Linked DNA regions of Ovis aries. The protein of the gene in region 3 interacts with the protein of the main gene of each other region in a pairwise test. Links are inferred from orthologs where the notes say so. Each region holds a gene or a part of one and is shown on either strand. Other genes may lie near its edges.

Region 1 (3,539 bases), on a different chromosome or scaffold from region 3:
AGGCTATTGTCTCTGGCATCTCATGGAAGATAACTACCTAGAAATTTCAAGATTGGTCCTTGATGAACAATAGCTGTGCTTCCATTATAGTTAAATGCAGATCTCTACATTCACTGCCTTATATCTCTTTCTCAAGTAGCTGGATGTGCTTGGCAGGACTTATACCCAAATTGTTCACTTATTGAACTGATAAGTCTTAAGCGCATACTCTGTCCCAAGCAGTGTAACAGGTACTGGGGCTACAAAAATGAACCAAATAGGCAGTTACTGAGCTTTCTGACAATGCATTTAATTTGCAGAAACCGGACTAAGAATAAACTATTTTTAAGTTAAATATTACTTTTATTTATATTATGTTGTCTTCTAATTTTGTGAGTACTCAAGCCCACAAATGGAAGGAATGTTGCTACAAGCCTTAAACTTAAAAACTTTAGACTTGAATGATTCTGAGAACTTGTTATTTTCTACAGTGTCTAATGAAATTTTCAAAAATTGTAAAATTCTCAAGAATACATTATTTTTAAATCTTTTTTTTTAAACTAGTGTTCAGAATCAGGTGGATGAAGTCATTGATGTCATGCAAGAAAATATTACAAAGGTAATAGAAAGAGGGGAGAGACTAGATGAACTACAGGACAAATCAGGTACAGATACCTCATATATTTCTTGAAATTCTTAATCTGTATTTTGATAGTGTACTTCTCCCATTTTTTTAGCCAAAGTTTAGAAATCTTGTCTTAGGAAAAATGGTATTTATGGTTTTAGTGTTTTAACTTTAGCTTCCTTTACTTTTTTAAAAAATTATTTTATTCAAGTATAGTTGATTTATGTGTTAATTTCTACTATACAGCATTTATATATACACACATATATATACATTTTCATATTCTTTTCCATTATGGTTTATTCCAGGATATTGATTATAGCTTGCTGTGCTACACACTAGGACCTTGTTGTTTATTCATCTTATATATAATGTTTTGTATCTGCTAATCCCAAACTCCCAATCCATCCTTTCCCACTGCCTCCCACCCACTGCCCACCGTAGGCAACCACAAGTCAGATTTCTACTTAGGTCTTCCCTCCATTTTCCAATTGGGTTGTTTGAAACTTCATTGTTAAGTTGTATATATTAGCTCCCTTCAGTTTGAAACATCTTATTGTTGTATTATTGCTTTAATTGATTGGTTGAGAATGGAAAAATTAAAAATTCATTATTGAAGAATTAGAGTATTTTTTTCTTTTGTCCTGTTATGTTGATGTACTTTGTATCTCTCCTGATCTCATGAAAAATAGGCCTAATCACTTCTATTCAAACTTATTTCAAACTTATCCAGGGTATTTATCTCATGCTTTGCCTGGTGACTTAGTAACCTTTCTGTACTGACAGATGTTAGTCTCTATTCTTTTAACTGTTCCTGGCACTTATTAGGTACTCACATATTGTTTAAATGATGAATGGCTGAATGACTGTCTGATTAGTCCTTCACAGACTTGTTTAACAAAAAAAATTATTCAACCACTTTTAAAATTCATACTGTTTTGCTTCAGAATCACTTTTGATATCATCTAAGAATCTGCTTTCTCCACTTGTAGATTTTTTCTATAGTTGTGCCAGGTATTTGAGTTTCTAAAGAGTATTTTCTAACAGAATTCATAAGTTTATTGAAAGCACTGAGACCCTAGAAGACCTCTCTTACTCTTATCATAAAAGTGGATTGAGCAAACTGACCTGCAGCCACTTTTTCCTTTTTTTTTTTTTTTAAGAATACAGAATACCAGAGTTTGTGGGTGGAGGAAAGGAAAGATGTTGTTTTCATGCTTAAAGGGGAATAAATTTGCAGAAGTAGAAATTAATATTTTCTTGTCTTTGTGTGACTAGATAAAAGAATCCTGTTATGTCGTTTAATCCTTCTCTCCATCCTCTATGTGATATAGAAAGCTTATCGGATAATGCAACTGCTTTTAGCAACAGATCCAAACAGCTTCGAAGGCAAATGTGGTGGCGTGGATGCAAAGTAAGTAAATCAGAAAATGCTGGATAGGTTGGCCAGCATATCCAGTGGTGATCAAAGGCATAAAGGAAAAAGGGCCTCTAGATTATCAGCTCTGTAAGGACAGGGGCTACAACTCTCTTGCTCATTATTACATATTCTGAGCCTGAGACATGGTGGAACTCTGAATATTTGTAGAATTATTATCTTTTGGGCTAGAAATAACTAAAGGAATCAAGCAGTGCCTGAAAGGATGTTTTCATGGGTTTCTTCGTAGAGAATAAACCACATTTTATTAATAATTTAGCTTCCTCTAGACTTATAAGAAATATTAACTTATAATTTATTATTAGTACCTTTTTGGAGCAACCTATACCATTATATACAGATGTTTAGAAAGTAGAATGCAAGCTAGAGAAAAATACAATTTTCCTGTTGGAAAGGAGGACAAAAATAAAAGCAATTGAATGTGTCAGAATTCATATGGCAAATGGGGGGGCTAAAAAAAATCCCACTGTCCCTCATTATTCTAGAGTCTTCTGCCATACGACCCTGAACCCATCTGCCTGATCTCAGAAGCTGGGCAAGGTCAGGGGCCTGGTTGTACTTGGATAAGAGGAATAAGAAGTAAAACATTTTAACAAGGAAAAAATTAGGAATCATTATATGCTGATATATTCCTGCAAAACATCTTATGGAAATGAATTTACTTCTTAAATCAAGTATGGCTACTGCTTATCAAGCAGAAAAATGTTTCTCTCAAGATTTTATAGAAAATTTCATGTCATATGAGCATATCTCATCTTTTTCCTCCTGATACTTTGTATCATTTTAAAGTCTCTCATTTTCCAGTTTAGGAATAACTTTCAAAACATGATGTTGACATATGCTGAGGATTTCTTCCAAGAGTTTCATTAGATTTACTTCTTTTTGTCTGTGTACCTGTTGAATCCTCTTATTTTCAGAAATAGAACTTAGGGGAAGATACAAGTTTCATTGCTCCTCTTGTCTAGAATTTAAATTTTCTGGGTTTTTTAAATGAGTAAATTTTCTATCTCTATACAAATGTTCTGTTCTGGAAATTAGTTTGGTGGAACAAAAAGTCAATGAGCCATTAACCTCCTCTCCCCATACATACACATGACTCATTCACATGGCCATTAATAAAATGATAATGTACATTTTGTGTAGCTTTTTTTAACCATAGCTATAGATTTTCATTTTGTACTTTATGGGGTCCAGATCAAAGAAATAGCATGCTTTTAAGGGGAAAAATTAGAGTATATTTTTAATTTATATTTTTAATAGTCTCTACATCACTGCCATTTTCTGGTTTAACTTCAGAGTTATTATTTAGGAAGGACTAAGAAAAGGGCTATAGAAATGGAAAAGAGATTAGAAGTTGCCACTGGCTAAGGGTCGAGGAGTAGAGATTGACTACAGCAGGGTATGAGGGCACTTTCTGAGTGATAAAGTGTCTTATGTTCAACTGCGATTGACAACTAGATGTCAAAATGCATCAAAATGAACTCTAAAAGGGTGAGT
Region 2 (3,539 bases), on a different chromosome or scaffold from region 3:
GCCAGTAAGAGTGTTAATTGATCCAAGCTTTATTAGAGGGCAATTTGACAATATATATCAAAATTACAAATATATATATAACCTTTGACGTAGTAATTCCACCTAGAAGGAATTTATGCTACAGATATATTCACACATATGGTTATTTATCACAGCACTATTTGTTATACTAAAAGAGTGGGGCCAACTTAAATGTTATTAGCAGGAGAAAGCTAAGTTCACTGCATGATATAGCCATATTGTTGTTGCTGTTGTTTAGTTACTAAGTCGTGTCCAACTCTTTTGTGACCCCATGGACTGTAGCTCACCAGGCTTCTCTGCCCATGGGATCTCCCAGGCAAGAATACTAGAGTGGGTTGCCATTTCCTTCTCCAAGGGATCTTCCTGTCTCAGGGATTGAACCCTTGTCTCCTGCACTGGCAGGTAGATTCTTTATCATTGAGCCACCTGGGGAGCCTGATATAGCTGTATATTTTAAAATTAAGCAGCTGTTAAGAAATAAAAAATGCAAGGTTCTTTAATCTTAGTGATAGAGGAAAATATATTTGAATATGAGAAATATACATATATGGTTAAAAATCTCTAGGACACCCAAGAAACTAGTAACAGTGACAACCTATTTCAAAACAGAGGTAAGGAGACCAAATGGCTAGGGTAATTGAGTGGCAGCATATCTTTTCACTGGGTAACTTTAGGTTATTACTTTTCTCAACCATGTGAATTTTCACCTGTTTTTAAAAAGTAAGTGAAAAAACAGAGAAAGTAGAAATAAGGAAGGTACATTCTTTCACCCCTTCACCCACTTTGAACATTTTGCCACATCTGCTTTATTACTCCTTCTCTTTATAAGAGTAATATATATGTGTGTATGTATACGCACATATGGGCTCTTCCCTGGTGGCTCAGATGGTAAAGCGTCTGCCTACAATGTGGGAGACCTGGGTTTGATCCCTGGGTTGGGAAGATCTCCTGGAAAAGGAAATGGCAACCCACTCCAGTACTCTTGCCTGGAAAATCCTATGGACAGAGGAGCCTTGTAGGCTACTGTCCATGGGGTCACAAAGAGTCGGACACGACTGAGTGACTTCACTCACTCACTCATACGCACATATATGTATTCGTCCCTGAACCGTCTGAAAGTTAGCTGAAGAGATCATGGGGCAAAGGTTTATTTACTGAAGGACACAGAATAAATTGCAAGACAGTGGTATTGTCTGGTAGGATAAAGGCTATACATAGGAAGGAAGTCAGTATAGAGGAAAATAACTATCAGAAGGACTAAACTAAGTGATTTCAAATAAAATACAGCCAGGATTTAGAGAGTATTAACATAAAGAGAAAAAAAGAGTTGCAGAGTGATAAACCAGGCTGCCTCAGGTCTATGCATGAGCCGTCAGAGCTCTTGAGAGACCTTCCTGACTTCAGTGCTCACAAACAGCACAAAGAACAAAAGAGTCCCAGGGTCCTATGTTGGCCCCCGTCTTCCCCTTCCTCCCAAGATGGGTCTTCCTTCTTTACCTTGCTTCTGTTGGGCTGCAAGTTCTGCAGATTCACACTTTGGCTGGGCTTGCACAGATGGAAGGCATATTCTGGATTCTTGTTCTGTTCTTAGAGGTACAATCTCCTGTAAGAACATTTCCTGTTCCTCAGTGCGGACTGAGACCTGAGGTAAATGAGATATAGCTTAGAACCTCACCCTGGTAACATTAAACAAGAATATACTATCTAGGGCAGTGGCACCCAGCTCTCTGAAACTTGAAACAAACTTCTTTCCATGTAACAGCCTGCCACAATCCTACTCAAGGCCAATACAAATGTCACCTCTTCTGGGAAACCTTCGCTTCCCCAGTTGGAAATAATTTCCCCTATCTTAACAGTTAAAGCATATTAAATGTACCACTTTTACATTTCTGTCTATGCTCAAAGAAATAGAGAAGTGACAAAGAGAAGGAAAAGAAGGTAAAAAGAGGCAGAGGCAGAAAGGAGTGGAAAAGAATTAATGCGGAAATAAGACAGAAGTGAGAAAGAAGGAAAGGAAGGGGGAAAAGTAAAGGGAAATAATGAGAGAAATTATAAAGAAAGACAGAAGGGAACAAAGGAGAAAGAGAAAGAAAAGAAAGAGGGTATGAGAAGGAAAGAGGAAAGGAAAAAGAGAAATCTCTCATATTCCTAATAGACAATGCTCTTCTGAGGTCCCCATCCCCATTCTTTCTGGGAAGATGATCTTGTTTTCTATTTCTCCAAGATCACGACCATCTCAAAAAAAAACTCTTATTCACTTTACCTATCTCCACTCTCTTACTCTTCTCCTTTCCTTCTATCTTAGAGGAAGAAGTCTTTTCTTTTTCAAGGCTTGTATCTCTACTTTTGCCTTCAATCTCATCCCTTTCTGCTTCCCTTTGATCCTTGCTCCTTCAATTAACTCATTTACTCAGCAATTTCAACCACTCGTAGCTTGCATTCCTCCATGGGCCCATTGCCTCTTGCACTTAAAACAAAAACAAAAAAAAAAAAAAAGAAGAAGAAAAGGTTTCCCCAGCATGGTAGTATAAAAACAGGAATCGGAATCTAATTTCCTTACTCTGTTTCTTAGTTTAGTATCGATAGCTGTCACCTTGGGCTAGGAATTATTCTGAGATTATATGACATCATGCATGTAAAGCACCTCACACAGGCATTGGCATGTGATAGGCCCTCAAATTACTTCCCCATGCCTCTTCAATAGCTTGTCTGGTGGCTCAGACTGTAAAGAATCTACCTGCAATGCAGGAGAACTGGGTTCAATCCCTGAATCAGGAGGATTCCATGGAGAAGGGAATGGTAACCCACTCCAATATTCTTGCCTGGAAAATCTCATGGAGAGAGGACACTGGCTATAGTCCATGGGGTCACAATGAGTCAGACATGACCGAGCAACTAACACACACACACACATACCCTTCAATGGCTAAAGTTTGTAAATAAAAAATTACCATACACTGACACTATTTCTCTGACAGTTTCATTTTGTAATCTTTCTCTCAGAATAAGAGCCAAAATCAGCATAATACTATCTCAAATGTACAGAAAAAGATGTTTTGATACTTCAAATTTTGGGGTGTGTGCGCTCAGTCACTCAGTCCTGTTCAACTCTTTGCAGCACCATGGAAATAGTCCAGCAGGCTCCCCTGTCCATGGTATCTTCCAGACAAAAATACTGGAGCTGGTTGCCATATCCTCCCCTAGGAGACCTTCCCAACCCAGGGATTGAACACAAGTCTCCCGAATCTCTTATATTGCAGGCAGATTCTTTACCACCAGCACCACCTGAGAAGCCCTCAAATTTGGCGGAGAAGGGAGCAAAAAAAGCCCAGTACAGTGAACTGTGCCTTCTGTCCCTGGATCTTTGACTAGGCCTTATAAACCACTAGCTACCCACAGCAAGCCTCAAAGGAAAGGACTGGTTGGCAATACAAATTCATCATGACTAAAACCAAGTTACTTGCTGCCTGCACCTAGGAATCCCTTTCTTCCTTTTGGTTCTCTTCCTACCTTCCTGG
Region 3 (4,138 bases):
ACAAAACCTTACAGACAGCTCTGCATCCCAACCCAAAGCCTGGCCCTGAACTCTGAGCTCTAATTAAACATTAAACCAGACAACACCTTCTCTCTAGGCTTTAGTGGGAGGAGTTAGGACAATGCCTTTCTTCCTCTCCCAAATTCTTCATGGCGTTCTTCACCTCACCCTGAGCAAAGCAGACACAAAAGGGAGCAACAAATCCTTGCTCCTCCCACTGGGGACATAGAAGGGGACAGAAACCTCAAGTGAGCCCTCTTTGTCTCCGCCCAACCTCCTATCAGCCTAGGATCCAGGTGTGCAAAACCACCCCCCCTCTCCCGGAAGCCCAGCACCCCCAGCCAGGATCAGTGGGGGAGAGGAGAGGCAGGCAGCTAAATATAACAAGTACACACACCACCCCCGGCCCTGTCCCACGTGCGCACACACCCGCCTGGTGTCCCAGACCGGGACAGCTGCACCAGGAGGCAGAGACAGACTGGTGTGGCTGGGTTAGCGAGAGACCATAGACTCCACTCGTTCTGTTCCCTGGTCAAAACCTTCCCCAGAAAAAGACCTGCTAAGAATGCCCTTGGCAGGGACCCGCAAGGTAGTAGTTCGGTAGCTGGGTAAGCTAGTTTGGAAGACTAATTCTCTGGGACTCCCCTAGCTTGCCTCTTGTCTGCCCTGTTAACTAAGTTATTCATATCACTAGTGGACAATGACAGGAATGATCCCTTTCAACAGAAATAGTCACTCTGAGTTCCCTGGTGGCCTAATGGTTAGGATTCCTGGCTTTGGATCCCTGGTCTGATCAGGGAACTGACCCCTGGCAAGCCTGGGCTTGGGGGTGCGGGGGGTGGTGGGGGGGAGAGTCACCTGCCTACCCACACCATTTCCATCTACTCTTCACTAGGGGATGATACATCTGCCACACCCACCATGCCAGGGGCTGGGGGCTAGCGAAGGGGTATAAAGAGTAGCAAATTCACAGCGCTTCTGAGAAGAGCATGAGCCTGGAGAAGACGACGCAAAGGGGAAGAAGAGAAGACCAACCACTACAGCCTCAGCCAGGGGTCTCCAAGCACCTTAGTGCTCTCTGGCTGAGGTCTTCTCAGAAAACAAATCCTTGGGGAGCTGAAGAGGGCCTAAACTTCCCAGCTCCAAAGGCCTTTTCAGAGAAGAGGGAGGAGACAAGTAGGGTGCGGTAGGGTGGGGCAGGGATGGGTAAGGTAGGAGGGGCCTGAGTCTTCCAACGGCTGGATTTCAAAAATGTCACAGTATTCCAGGAGTTTAATAAGGCAAAGAACAATAACAAAAAAAATGTCCCAGTGGCTGAGAGGGCCGGCCAGAGCAGAGGCTGCTAGGCTTGGCCGGGAAAATGAAAGTGGCTCACCCCAAGAAGGGAGGCAGGGAGGGACTAGGCAGAGGGTGAGGGTGGGGAGATGGGGAAGGGGAGGTACAGACCTGGGCATACATAACACAACTTCCTGAGCCGGGAGCCTCTGCCCTCCGTCTCCCTCCCTCCCTTGCATTCCTGGGCCAAGCAGGCCAAGGGCTGTGGGAGCTGCGGGGGAGCGGCTCTCCTAGAGTTGATCGGTGGGCCTGTCAGAGGCCAGGGGAAGTCCCAGACATGCAGGGAGTAAAGGAGCACTTCAAAACTCTTAACAAGAGCCTGGGAAAGGGTTGTGCAGTGGGGGCCATCGCTGTGCCCCTGCAGGGGGAAAAGGGGGTCACCCGGCTTTGGTGACCTCTCTCTGGCACCACTAGACATCTCCCAGCCTAGGAGCTCTGTTTTAGTGGGAGTCATGTCTTCAGAGACAGGCTGGGCAAGGTTGGCACGGTGCCAAGGCTGCCAAGAAAGTTCCAACAGGACCCTCTCACCCACTCCTAAGTGTCTTGGGCGCCTAGATGTCTTAGACCTGGCAAGGCCAGTTCGGCTTTGCTCAAGGCCCTCTCTCAGGCCCCAAATGACTGGCAAATCCCACCCTGACAGATTGCGGGCCTGCCACCAGCTCCTACTTGGCCCTGATGAACCCCGCCATTCCTTATATACCCCACCCTCTCCCAGAGACCTCTCCCTTCTCAGTCCTGTCTTGACAATTTCCCTTGGCACTGCCAGGCACTCGCTGGGGGCAGTTCCGGGAGGGAGGAAACTATACGGCAACGTTACCAACGGCCTGGAGCCCAGGCAGGGGCGGCAGTCCCTCTGCCCTCACTGCCCCTCCCGGCCCCACGCCGCCACCTGGGGCACTCACCGCGCCTTGAGCTCCTTGAACTCCTCTCGCACTTTGCTCAGCTCCAGCTGCAGGCGGGCGCGCTCCTTGGCCACCGAGTCGAGGGTCTTGCGGGCATCCCCCAGCTCGGCTTCGTAGGCGGCCTTTATGCCAGACACCTCGCGGCTGACCACCTCCTCAGACTCAGTGATGCGAAGGCGCAGACCTGCATTCTCCGTTTCCAGCGAGCGCACCCGGTCGATGTAGACAGCCAAGCGGTCATTGAGCTCCTGTAGGTCCTCCTTCTCCTGCAGCCGGGTGATGCGGGTGGGTGACAGCGGGGTGGAGCTGGCCTGCGCCCCGCTGCGGGTGGCGCGCCGCTGGGACGGGGTCTCCATGGCCGGCAGGGTGGCAGCACTGCCCGAGGGGCAGAGGTCCCGGGAAGGACGCGGGGCTCAGGCCGAAGGACAGAGACTGCTGGGGTAGGAGCGCGCCGGCCGGCTGGCTCTCGGCTGGCTCCTGGCAGGCTTGTGGATCTGGGCCGGGCGCTGTCAGACCTCTGGATCTCGGTTGGCCGGTGTGGATGCGGAGCTCCCGCGAACACTCTGAGTCACCGGCTCCCGGGCAAAGGCTCTAATAGGTCTAGGGAATGGGAGGAGGGGCCACTCTCTTAAAGGGGCCGTCGCTAACCCACAGGGGTGGGAGAGGGAGGGGTGAGCAGGGGAGACGACAGCCCCGGGGTAGGGCCCCACCCTCCCTCAGGCACCCCCACGTGCCTGGGGCTTCCCTGAAGCTCGTCTCTAGGTCTCTACCTGCTCAGCGATCCAAGCTAAAAGCTTGCCCCCACTGCCTTTGGCCTTAGAGGGGGAAATGGGCAGAGCCAAGGGGTGAGGCTGGGTGGGCAAAGGGCAGGGGGAAGAGGGGCAGTAGGCACAAAGCAAGGGAGGGCGCCAGGCAGGCAGATCCAGGAAAGTGGGGGGAGGCTGAGGCTGGTGCCCATGAGGGTGACTCACTCTTCCACCACTGGCCCCCCTTTTCCTCCCCATAGTAATAGTGAGTCACCCCTACTCCCCCACCCCCCACCTCCATGAGTGGGCAGTCCATTCAAAGCCACATCTCAGTATGCCAGGGTGGGGTGGGGAAATATGCCTGGGTTCCCTGGGGTGGTTGGAGGGAGAGCTGCCACAAAGTTCTGGATCCTGAGTTCCTTTTACACCCTCAAATTCAGGGTGGGGACCAGAGTTTGGGGTTATTCTTTTCCTATTTTCTGCCCCAGTTTAATCTCCCTTTGAAATCAACCATTGGATCGTAGACCCAAAGAACAACCCCGAGGCCCCAGAAAAGGTCAAGAATAGGACCCAAGTACTGCCCACCCCATCCCCTTCCTTTGGACCCCAGCAGTCAGAAAAAGAGCCTGCCTGAGGTTCCTCCCAGCTTTGGTCCCTTTCTAGTCCTCAGCCCAGCCCAGCCCAGCCCACCAACCCCAGAACTGTACTTATTTTTTTTTCCAGGACTGTACTTATTTTAATGGATAATTTAAAACAGATACCAGAGCTGTGCATGCGTTCATCACATTGCCAGGACACCAGGTCCCAAATTTTTGTGGTTCCCAAAGGGGCCTGAAAGGGGGAGCAGGGCTGGGGGCTGGACAGCCAATTTTGGGTCTCTATCCTGGTTTCAGCCAGAAAAGGGGGGTGATGGGGGTGAAGACAGCAAAGGCGCCCATAGCCTTGCTGACTGCTGGGCCAGCACCGCACTTATCTCCACATTCCTCTCTGACCAGGTCTGCTTTGCCACTGGCTCCGGGGAGGGGCCAGGCCCTCTCACAAAACAGGATCATCCACGTCCCTGAGCTTCCATCCTCAGGACTCTCGGGAGACCCCTTTAATCAGCCTCCTACTCCCCATTCCCATCCGGGCCCCGGCCCCACCAACCATCTCATC
Region 4 (2,863 bases), on a different chromosome or scaffold from region 3:
CTTATTACAATTTCCCCTTCAAAAGTATTATGGTAACATGAACAAAACAATGTTTCAGCCATCAATGATCTAAAATATGGATGTTCTTGAGCATACATTTTTAGTGAGGGCAACAAAATCTTACCCTTCATGTGTATAAAGCATAAAAATATGTATATGATTCACAGTCTGTATGAAGTATTAAAATTTCATGGGGGTAGATGATTAGGGGAAAAAAAAAAAAACCCTAAAAAGTTTCCTTAGGCAGGTGAGAATGGAAAAATTGAGAAACATGTGTAGATTTTTACCAAGTGAGGAATACTTCAATTCAACTTTCGTGATAGGTCAAAATCCCCAGATGAAACAGAAAACCACAGTGATTGTATTTTCTACCAACGTACTTGTGAGGAGCTCCAGTTTTCTCTTTGCCCTTTATTTCTCCAAGCAGAACTCACTAAAATTGTTCAAGTGTAAAGAAAACCCTAGGAATTTTTTAAAAGGTATACGAGTCATTAAACTTACAACACAGAGTACAAACCAAAAAAGTAAATTTATTTAAATTACTAAAATAGCTTTTAAAGTCATTTACAGATTAGCTGCTACAATTATTTTTCCTGATATAAGTAATATTATTTTAAAATTTTGGTCAATGAAACAGTTAATAAAAACATCTGTTTCTCCATATAATACATATATGTATAAAATAAGCCTTTTCAAAAATTCTTGTTTTAGAATCCTCTATAAATCAAGAATATCTGACTTCTGACAGTGTCAGGAACAGATTATAATAAGGAGTATAAACTTACGAATACTGGTAGTCCTAGTGGGAAGAAATAAGACCATATTCTACCATCAGTTATGGGATCCTCAAAAGGTAAATGAAGAAGCCACTGACAGGCTTTAGTATTCTAAAAGCAATATTGCCATTTAAAGGTTTGTAGACAATAAAAAAATAAAGCTGATCCAGAATTTTAAGATTCTAAGAAAACCAAAGCTGTTGACAGATGAGAAAGCTGTTAAGAGATGCAAAGTTAAAACTGAAATACTATGGTACAGTTATGTACAGCAGTACATCTTAACATCCTTCATATATAGTAAACTTCACTTTCTTTTTGGCTTGAGGCACTCAACAGAATTTATCACATGCATAGCAAATCTTTATACTTGTTACAAGAGTGTCATTAAAGGACGTAGACTGCAACAAATGGACATGCAGAAAATCAAAGCCCTCTTCAGTCACTGAGGAGAGGTCGTTGACAAAGCGGTTTACCAATTTCTGACATTATCTTTCTTAACAAAATTTTCAGGATATGAACAAAATAAACTGCCTGAATTTGCCTGTTCTTAAGCGCCAAGTGAGCAAATATACTAAACCTCATCATATACATGCTTCAGAATCCTTGGGAGGAGTAAAAATTTCTTCAAGGAAAATAAAAGTCCCGACAGAATTCACTGAGAATGGAGTTCATATAGCTATGTTTGATGAACCCCAGGTGACAGTGACTTTTTTTTTAAAAATTTCTGAGTGTGCATGGGGTGGCTTGCAGAACCTTAGCTCCCCAACCAAGGATGGAACCCAGGCCCTTGGCAGTGAGAACATGGAGTCCCACCCACGAGACCATCAAGGAATTCCCCCAGTGACTTATTTTAATATTTCATCTTGAAAACTTTTCCTCCCCTTTCCTTCTCCATTTCACAACTTTTCCCTGTCCTCCAAAATTAAAGAAAAAAAGAAAGAAACACCCAAACAAACACTCAGATGGCCCTTCATTATTTTTGTTCCTATAAGGAGAAGCTGACTAAGGAATTCACATCTAAATGATGAAAAAAGAGAACAAAACAGGAAAGCCCATAGTTGCGCTCAGGGAGCTATCTTACTAATAACAAACTCTGTGAAAAAAAAACCAAGTTAAAACATTAGGGAGGATTTATAGGAAGGAGCCAAATCCCTCCCACTGGTCATACCACAGGAATAATGATTCACTCCAGAATTTAAGTAGATCCTCTATGGGACTGTATATAATTTATAGTCTGTAGATATCATTAACAGATCTCAGTGGGAAATGAGTCTCTCAGGTAACATAATTAGGCTGAATAAACAATACAGATGTTCCATGTTTACCTAAGAACCTAACCTCCTTTAAAAAGAAACCAGGTCTTTCAAAAAGAGCTGAGTGCTGTCTGGTTAGAAAGTTTGAAAAAATTCTCAGCACTTGAGACATAACTTTCTCTTCCGTCTTCCTTTAAAAGCAGATGCCCCTTTTCAGGTCATTTTCAGGTTGTACAGGGAGGACTAAGTGAGAAATACGGCTCCAGAGCCCACTCAGTTTGTCTGGGTCCATATGCTTGTAGGAGCTGGATGTGTCAGAGTTGGTGAACTTGACTTTGAGGAAATCTCTCACTTTTTCTTCAATTTCCTTGAGGCCCAGATTGGTTCCAAGTGTCTCCTCCTCCAATAAGACAGTCAGGACTAAGGCTACATCTTTGAAGGCTGCACTTTCGTGGTCACAATACTTGTAGAAGATCAAAGTAGAGTCTGCAGGCAGTGACTCAAAGCGGTGGACCACAGCTGCTTTCTGGCCATTTCTGAACCCAGTGCTCAGTTCCTGATCTACTTCTTCTTTGACAGTATCACTGTCTCGAGCAGCTTTGCCAGCCCCATCAATCCGGATGGCAGGAACACTACGGAAGGAGGAGTAGGCATCAGCGATCTGTTCGCTCAGACACCTGAGTGCTTCTTCAGCATCTCGGGCAGCAGTGAGCAGCAAAATCGCAGGCTGAGGCCGAGGTTGGGAACCATTGAGATGTTTTTCCAGTAATGTTTGGCTCCTTTTCCACAGCTTCTCATCTTGACCTTGGTACTTATTCATCAGCTGTTTCATCT
Region 5 (3,539 bases), on a different chromosome or scaffold from region 3:
CGCGGATCTCGGGCGTGATGGTGTCGATCTGGACTCCCACCCCGTCGGGGTGCACCCACGACAGGCCAGGCCCTTGCACCAGAGTGGGCTCCAGTCCCGGCCCGAGCCGGCGAGCGTGAGAGAAGGACCAGATGGTGCCGGGCATGAAGCGGGCCGACGAGGAGTAGGCGGTGGAGGCGGAGGTGGAGGGCGCTGGCTGGCAGGCCGCGGACGGCGCGAGGGGGCCGGCCGGTGAGCGCGCGGGCGAGCCCAGGACCCGCGCCGATGGGGTGCAGACGGCGGCCGTCCGGGAGCCCAGGGGCAGCCCCAGGGGTCGGACGGGGCTGACGAAGCCGGTCTGCACGGCCTGGTCGCGGCGAGGCAGGCCCCGCCGGCCCTGCTTACCCTCCTCCAGCGCCTGCTGCAGCTGCTTCTCCAGCAGTCGGTTGCGGCGCTCCAGCTCGTGCACCTTGGCCAGGAAACAGCGGAAGCGGAGGTTGAGGGTCTTGAGCACGTTGATGTTGGAGCCCAGGTCGTTGCGGAGGGCCATGGCGGCGGGGGGCGCCGGGCCCGGCCCCGGCGGCGAGTAGGGAGCCGGGCCGGTCGGGGCGAGCGGCGCCGGGGGCACGTCCCCGCCGCCGGCCAAGTGGTCGCCTCCCAAGGGGTCCCCCAGCGGCCCGGCCAGGCCCTGCTGCTCCTGCTGGAGGAGGAAGAGGTTGGGGCCGAATAACGGATTCATGGCTGCGCCTTCTGCTGGGAGACAGAAACCCGTGCGGGAGCAGGGATGTTGGGCGAGGGAGGAGAGCCAATGAGACGCCAGGGGGACGCGGAACAGCCAATCAGACGGCTCGACGGGAGGGGCAGAGGTCATGGGGGCGGGGGAGGGCAGGGGGTAAGCCAATGAAAGGCTCGTTCGAAGGCTGGCACCTGGACAGACCTTTCCGGGTCTGGGGCTGAGCCCTGAGCCCAGCGGACCCCGGAATCCAGACAGCGGCTGAGTGACTGAAACCCAGGTCCTCCAGTACTGCGTAGTTCTGGTAGCACGAAATCCATCTACATCCCTATTGCCCTGCTCCCTCCTAAGTCCAAACACCCAGTTCTGACTCCATGAATCTCCTTCCCTGGGTTCCCCGGAACTGACCTGATTTCTCAGTGCACTGCATTGTCCCCTCTTCTGAGGTTCCCTATCTCACCCTCCCTCCTCTGCTCTTTTAAGCAGCAAAGCCAGTACCCACCCCCAAAAAACACACAGTGGCCAGGGACTGTAAAACATGTATTAAATTTCACATCCATGGTTGGGAAGCCATCCTCACAGAGGAGAGTTCCAGCCCTGCAACAATGGCAGTCTAATTCAACCATCCACTGAAGTCAGCGCAGGCTGGAGGCTGCCTCTGGACTGAGATTTTCTCCTCTTTGCTGGCGGGGGCCGGCTGGAACTGCGGGAGGACACGGTGGGAGTCTTTAGTCCCTTGGGGGTGCCATCCCGTTTCTGGAAGGCAGCTTTCTTGAAAGGCTGCTCTGCCACCTGATGCTTAACCTTCTCAGCCCCTGTGGTGTTTCCAAAGGGCTGGTCACGGTCCTCAGGCTTGGGTGTGGCCTGAGTCTTGGAGAGGGATGGTGCTGCAGGCAAGTCTGTGTCCATGGTCTTGGGAGGAGCACGCTGCTTCCGGAAGGCAGCTTTCCTGGAGGACTGCAGTTTGGGTGACTGTTGCTTTAGCTTCCCAGCCTCCTTCGGTTCCCTGACCACTGCTGCTGTTTCGGGCGGCTGACTACTGTCCTGGAGCTTGGAGGACGCCTGGGCCTTTGTGACAGCAGACACAGTGGACAATTCTGTGTCCGTCCCTTTGGAGATGCCATTCTGCTTCTGGAAGGAAGACTTCTTGGGATGCTGCTGTTTCTGCAGCCGTTGCTTTGCCTGACCAGCCTTCTTGGTAGACGGGCTGCCACTCTCAGACTTGGGGGTCACCTGCCCATTCACGTTGGGCAAGTCTGGGTTTGTGGGGGTGGATGTCGCAGAATTTCCTGTGGTTAAAATTAAACAGTTTGAGAAATAAGGCCTCATCACTGGGTCACGATCATCAGTGGAGCAGAAAAAGCAGAGATATTAAAGTAAGGAGACTTCCTGGGTGCCACCTCCTGGCCAAGTGTCCCACACAACAGGGGCAGTACCTAGGAGCAGATCACCTAGATTCAGATTACTTAGTTTCACCTAGCCTCTACTCAAGTCGTATTTGCAATCTGTAATAAAGAGAAGATACCATTACCCATCCATGGGCCAAAAGGTTTTCAGAGGAAGCTGTGCCCCTTGGGGGCCAGCAGGAGGTGAATCCTGAACAAACTTGAAGCACTGGGCTTCTTCTTTAATCAGAAAAGATGTTTTCTTCCATGCAGCTTTTGATGAGATGCAGACAAATAAGGCACACAGAGTAACTAAAGACAAGCTAGTCTTCATGAATGAAGACTGACATAGTCAATATGTATCTTTTAAGTTACAGCAAAAAATATATATATATAGGGTACTTTGCTGCTTCTTGAAGAGATGTGTTAACATTCAAATGTGACTCATGTTAAGAGGCATTGTTTATAGAGAAAAGTCACCAAGTTTGTGTGCAAAGAAGTCCACCTCTCCCTCGTGCAACTAAGCCTAGGGTGACATCCCAGGAGGCAGAGCCCTCAGGTTTGTTTCAGAAAACCCCACCCTGGCCTTTATGGCCCAGTCCAAACTCCCCAAGACAGCCAAGAAAACCATCTGCAATTAGTGAGACTGCAAAGAACTGATGTTCTGAGGAGTCCTGCGCCAGCCCAGTGCTGAGGCTGAGATCTGTTACCAGGAAGGCCACCCCCGGCCAAGAAACCACACCCCTGCTGGAGAGCATTCACTGCTGACAACTGCAGCCACCTGGCACAACTGAGCAAAGGGCTCGATCCACACAAACCCTTTAACATACCCAACTGGGGTTCAGGCATGGGACCAGTTCTAGCTGGAATGAAAAGGATCTCTCACCCCAGCATTCAAGGGTAAGCCAGGGGGGCAAGGACCACCCTTCCCTGCAGCCACACCTTTCCCTGCAGCCACACCTTTCCCTGCAGCCACACCCTTCCCTGCAGCCTCTGGAGGGGGAAAGAGCAAAGGTGGAGATGAAGAGAGCAAAAAGCAGATCACTTACCCGTTTGGGACTGGGGGATAGAATTGGAGAATTTCTTGAACTTGGCAATAAAGAAGCCATCCATGTTGTGGGTGTGAGGGTAGAAGCGGCGGGTGGAGCGCAGCGTGGGGTGGAAGCGCCTTTCCCGGAAGCGGGTGAAGCCCTCCTGGCCGAAATCCAGGCCAGTGGGCACCAGGCGCACGTTTCTCTTTTTCAGGGCGTAGTCCACCACCCACTCGTTCTCCTCCACCTAACATGTAGGGGAGACGGAAGGAAAGCAGAGCTGGAGTTGAAGGGGCGCTGAGGGCATGACAGCCCCAGGCTAGCTCCCTCCCGCGCCCCAACAGGCCTCACCATGATGGAGCAGGTGCAGTAGACGAGATAGCCCCCCGTCTTGGAGCTGGCGTTGACAGA

What was found. The genes of interacting proteins can lie anywhere in the genome.
Region 1: the proteins of LMNA (region 3) and VAMP4 interact in a two-hybrid assay, tested with the Homo sapiens proteins (2 studies listed by BioGRID and IntAct, with this or other methods). The link is inferred for Ovis aries from reciprocal best matches to the Homo sapiens genes LMNA and VAMP4.
Region 2: the proteins of LMNA (region 3) and ZSCAN12 interact in binary tests that used the Homo sapiens proteins (3 or more experiments, as listed by UniProt). The link is inferred for Ovis aries from reciprocal best matches to the Homo sapiens genes LMNA and ZSCAN12.
Region 4: the proteins of LMNA (region 3) and TOR1AIP1 interact in a two-hybrid assay, tested with the Homo sapiens proteins (2 studies listed by BioGRID). The link is inferred for Ovis aries from reciprocal best matches to the Homo sapiens genes LMNA and TOR1AIP1.
Region 5: the proteins of LMNA (region 3) and IFFO1 interact in binary tests that used the Homo sapiens proteins (3 or more experiments, as listed by UniProt). The link is inferred for Ovis aries from reciprocal best matches to the Homo sapiens genes LMNA and IFFO1.

What each region holds. Positions count from the first base shown.
Region 1 is NC_056065.1:38,427,039-38,430,577, reverse strand, and holds part of VAMP4 (vesicle-associated membrane protein 4), read left to right. Parts: intron 1-543; coding exon 544-644; intron 645-1,938; coding exon 1,939-2,018; intron 2,019-3,539. UniProt on the Homo sapiens protein: Involved in the pathway that functions to remove an inhibitor (probably synaptotagmin-4) of calcium-triggered exocytosis during the maturation of secretory granules.
Region 2 is NC_056073.1:29,395,637-29,399,175, reverse strand, and holds part of ZSCAN12 (zinc finger and SCAN domain-containing protein 12), read right to left. Parts: intron 1,664-3,539; coding exon 1,519-1,663; intron 1-1,518. UniProt on the Homo sapiens protein: May be involved in transcriptional regulation.
Region 3 is NC_056054.1:106,135,982-106,140,119, reverse strand, and holds the start of LMNA (lamin), read right to left. Parts: upstream 2,803-4,138; 5' UTR 2,594-2,802; coding exon 2,238-2,593; intron 1-2,237.
Region 4 is NC_056065.1:60,524,981-60,527,843, reverse strand, and holds the end of TOR1AIP1 (torsin-1A-interacting protein 1), read right to left. Parts: coding exon 2,223-2,863; 3' UTR 511-2,222; downstream 1-510. UniProt on the Homo sapiens protein: Required for nuclear membrane integrity. Induces TOR1A and TOR1B ATPase activity and is required for their location on the nuclear membrane. Binds to A- and B-type lamins. Possible role in membrane attachment and assembly of the nuclear lamina.
Region 5 is NC_056056.1:209,688,631-209,692,169, reverse strand, and holds part of IFFO1 (non-homologous end joining factor IFFO1), read right to left. Parts: coding exon of another isoform or gene 3,480-3,539; 5' UTR 3,376-3,479; coding exon of another isoform or gene 3,147-3,375; 5' UTR 2,002-3,146; coding exon of another isoform or gene 1,331-2,001; 5' UTR 851-1,330; coding exon 1-850. Other genes in the region: NOP2 (probable 28S rRNA (cytosine(4447)-C(5))-methyltransferase), read right to left, coding at 1,331-2,001, 3,147-3,375, 3,480-3,539. UniProt on the Homo sapiens protein: Nuclear matrix protein involved in the immobilization of broken DNA ends and the suppression of chromosome translocation during DNA double-strand breaks (DSBs).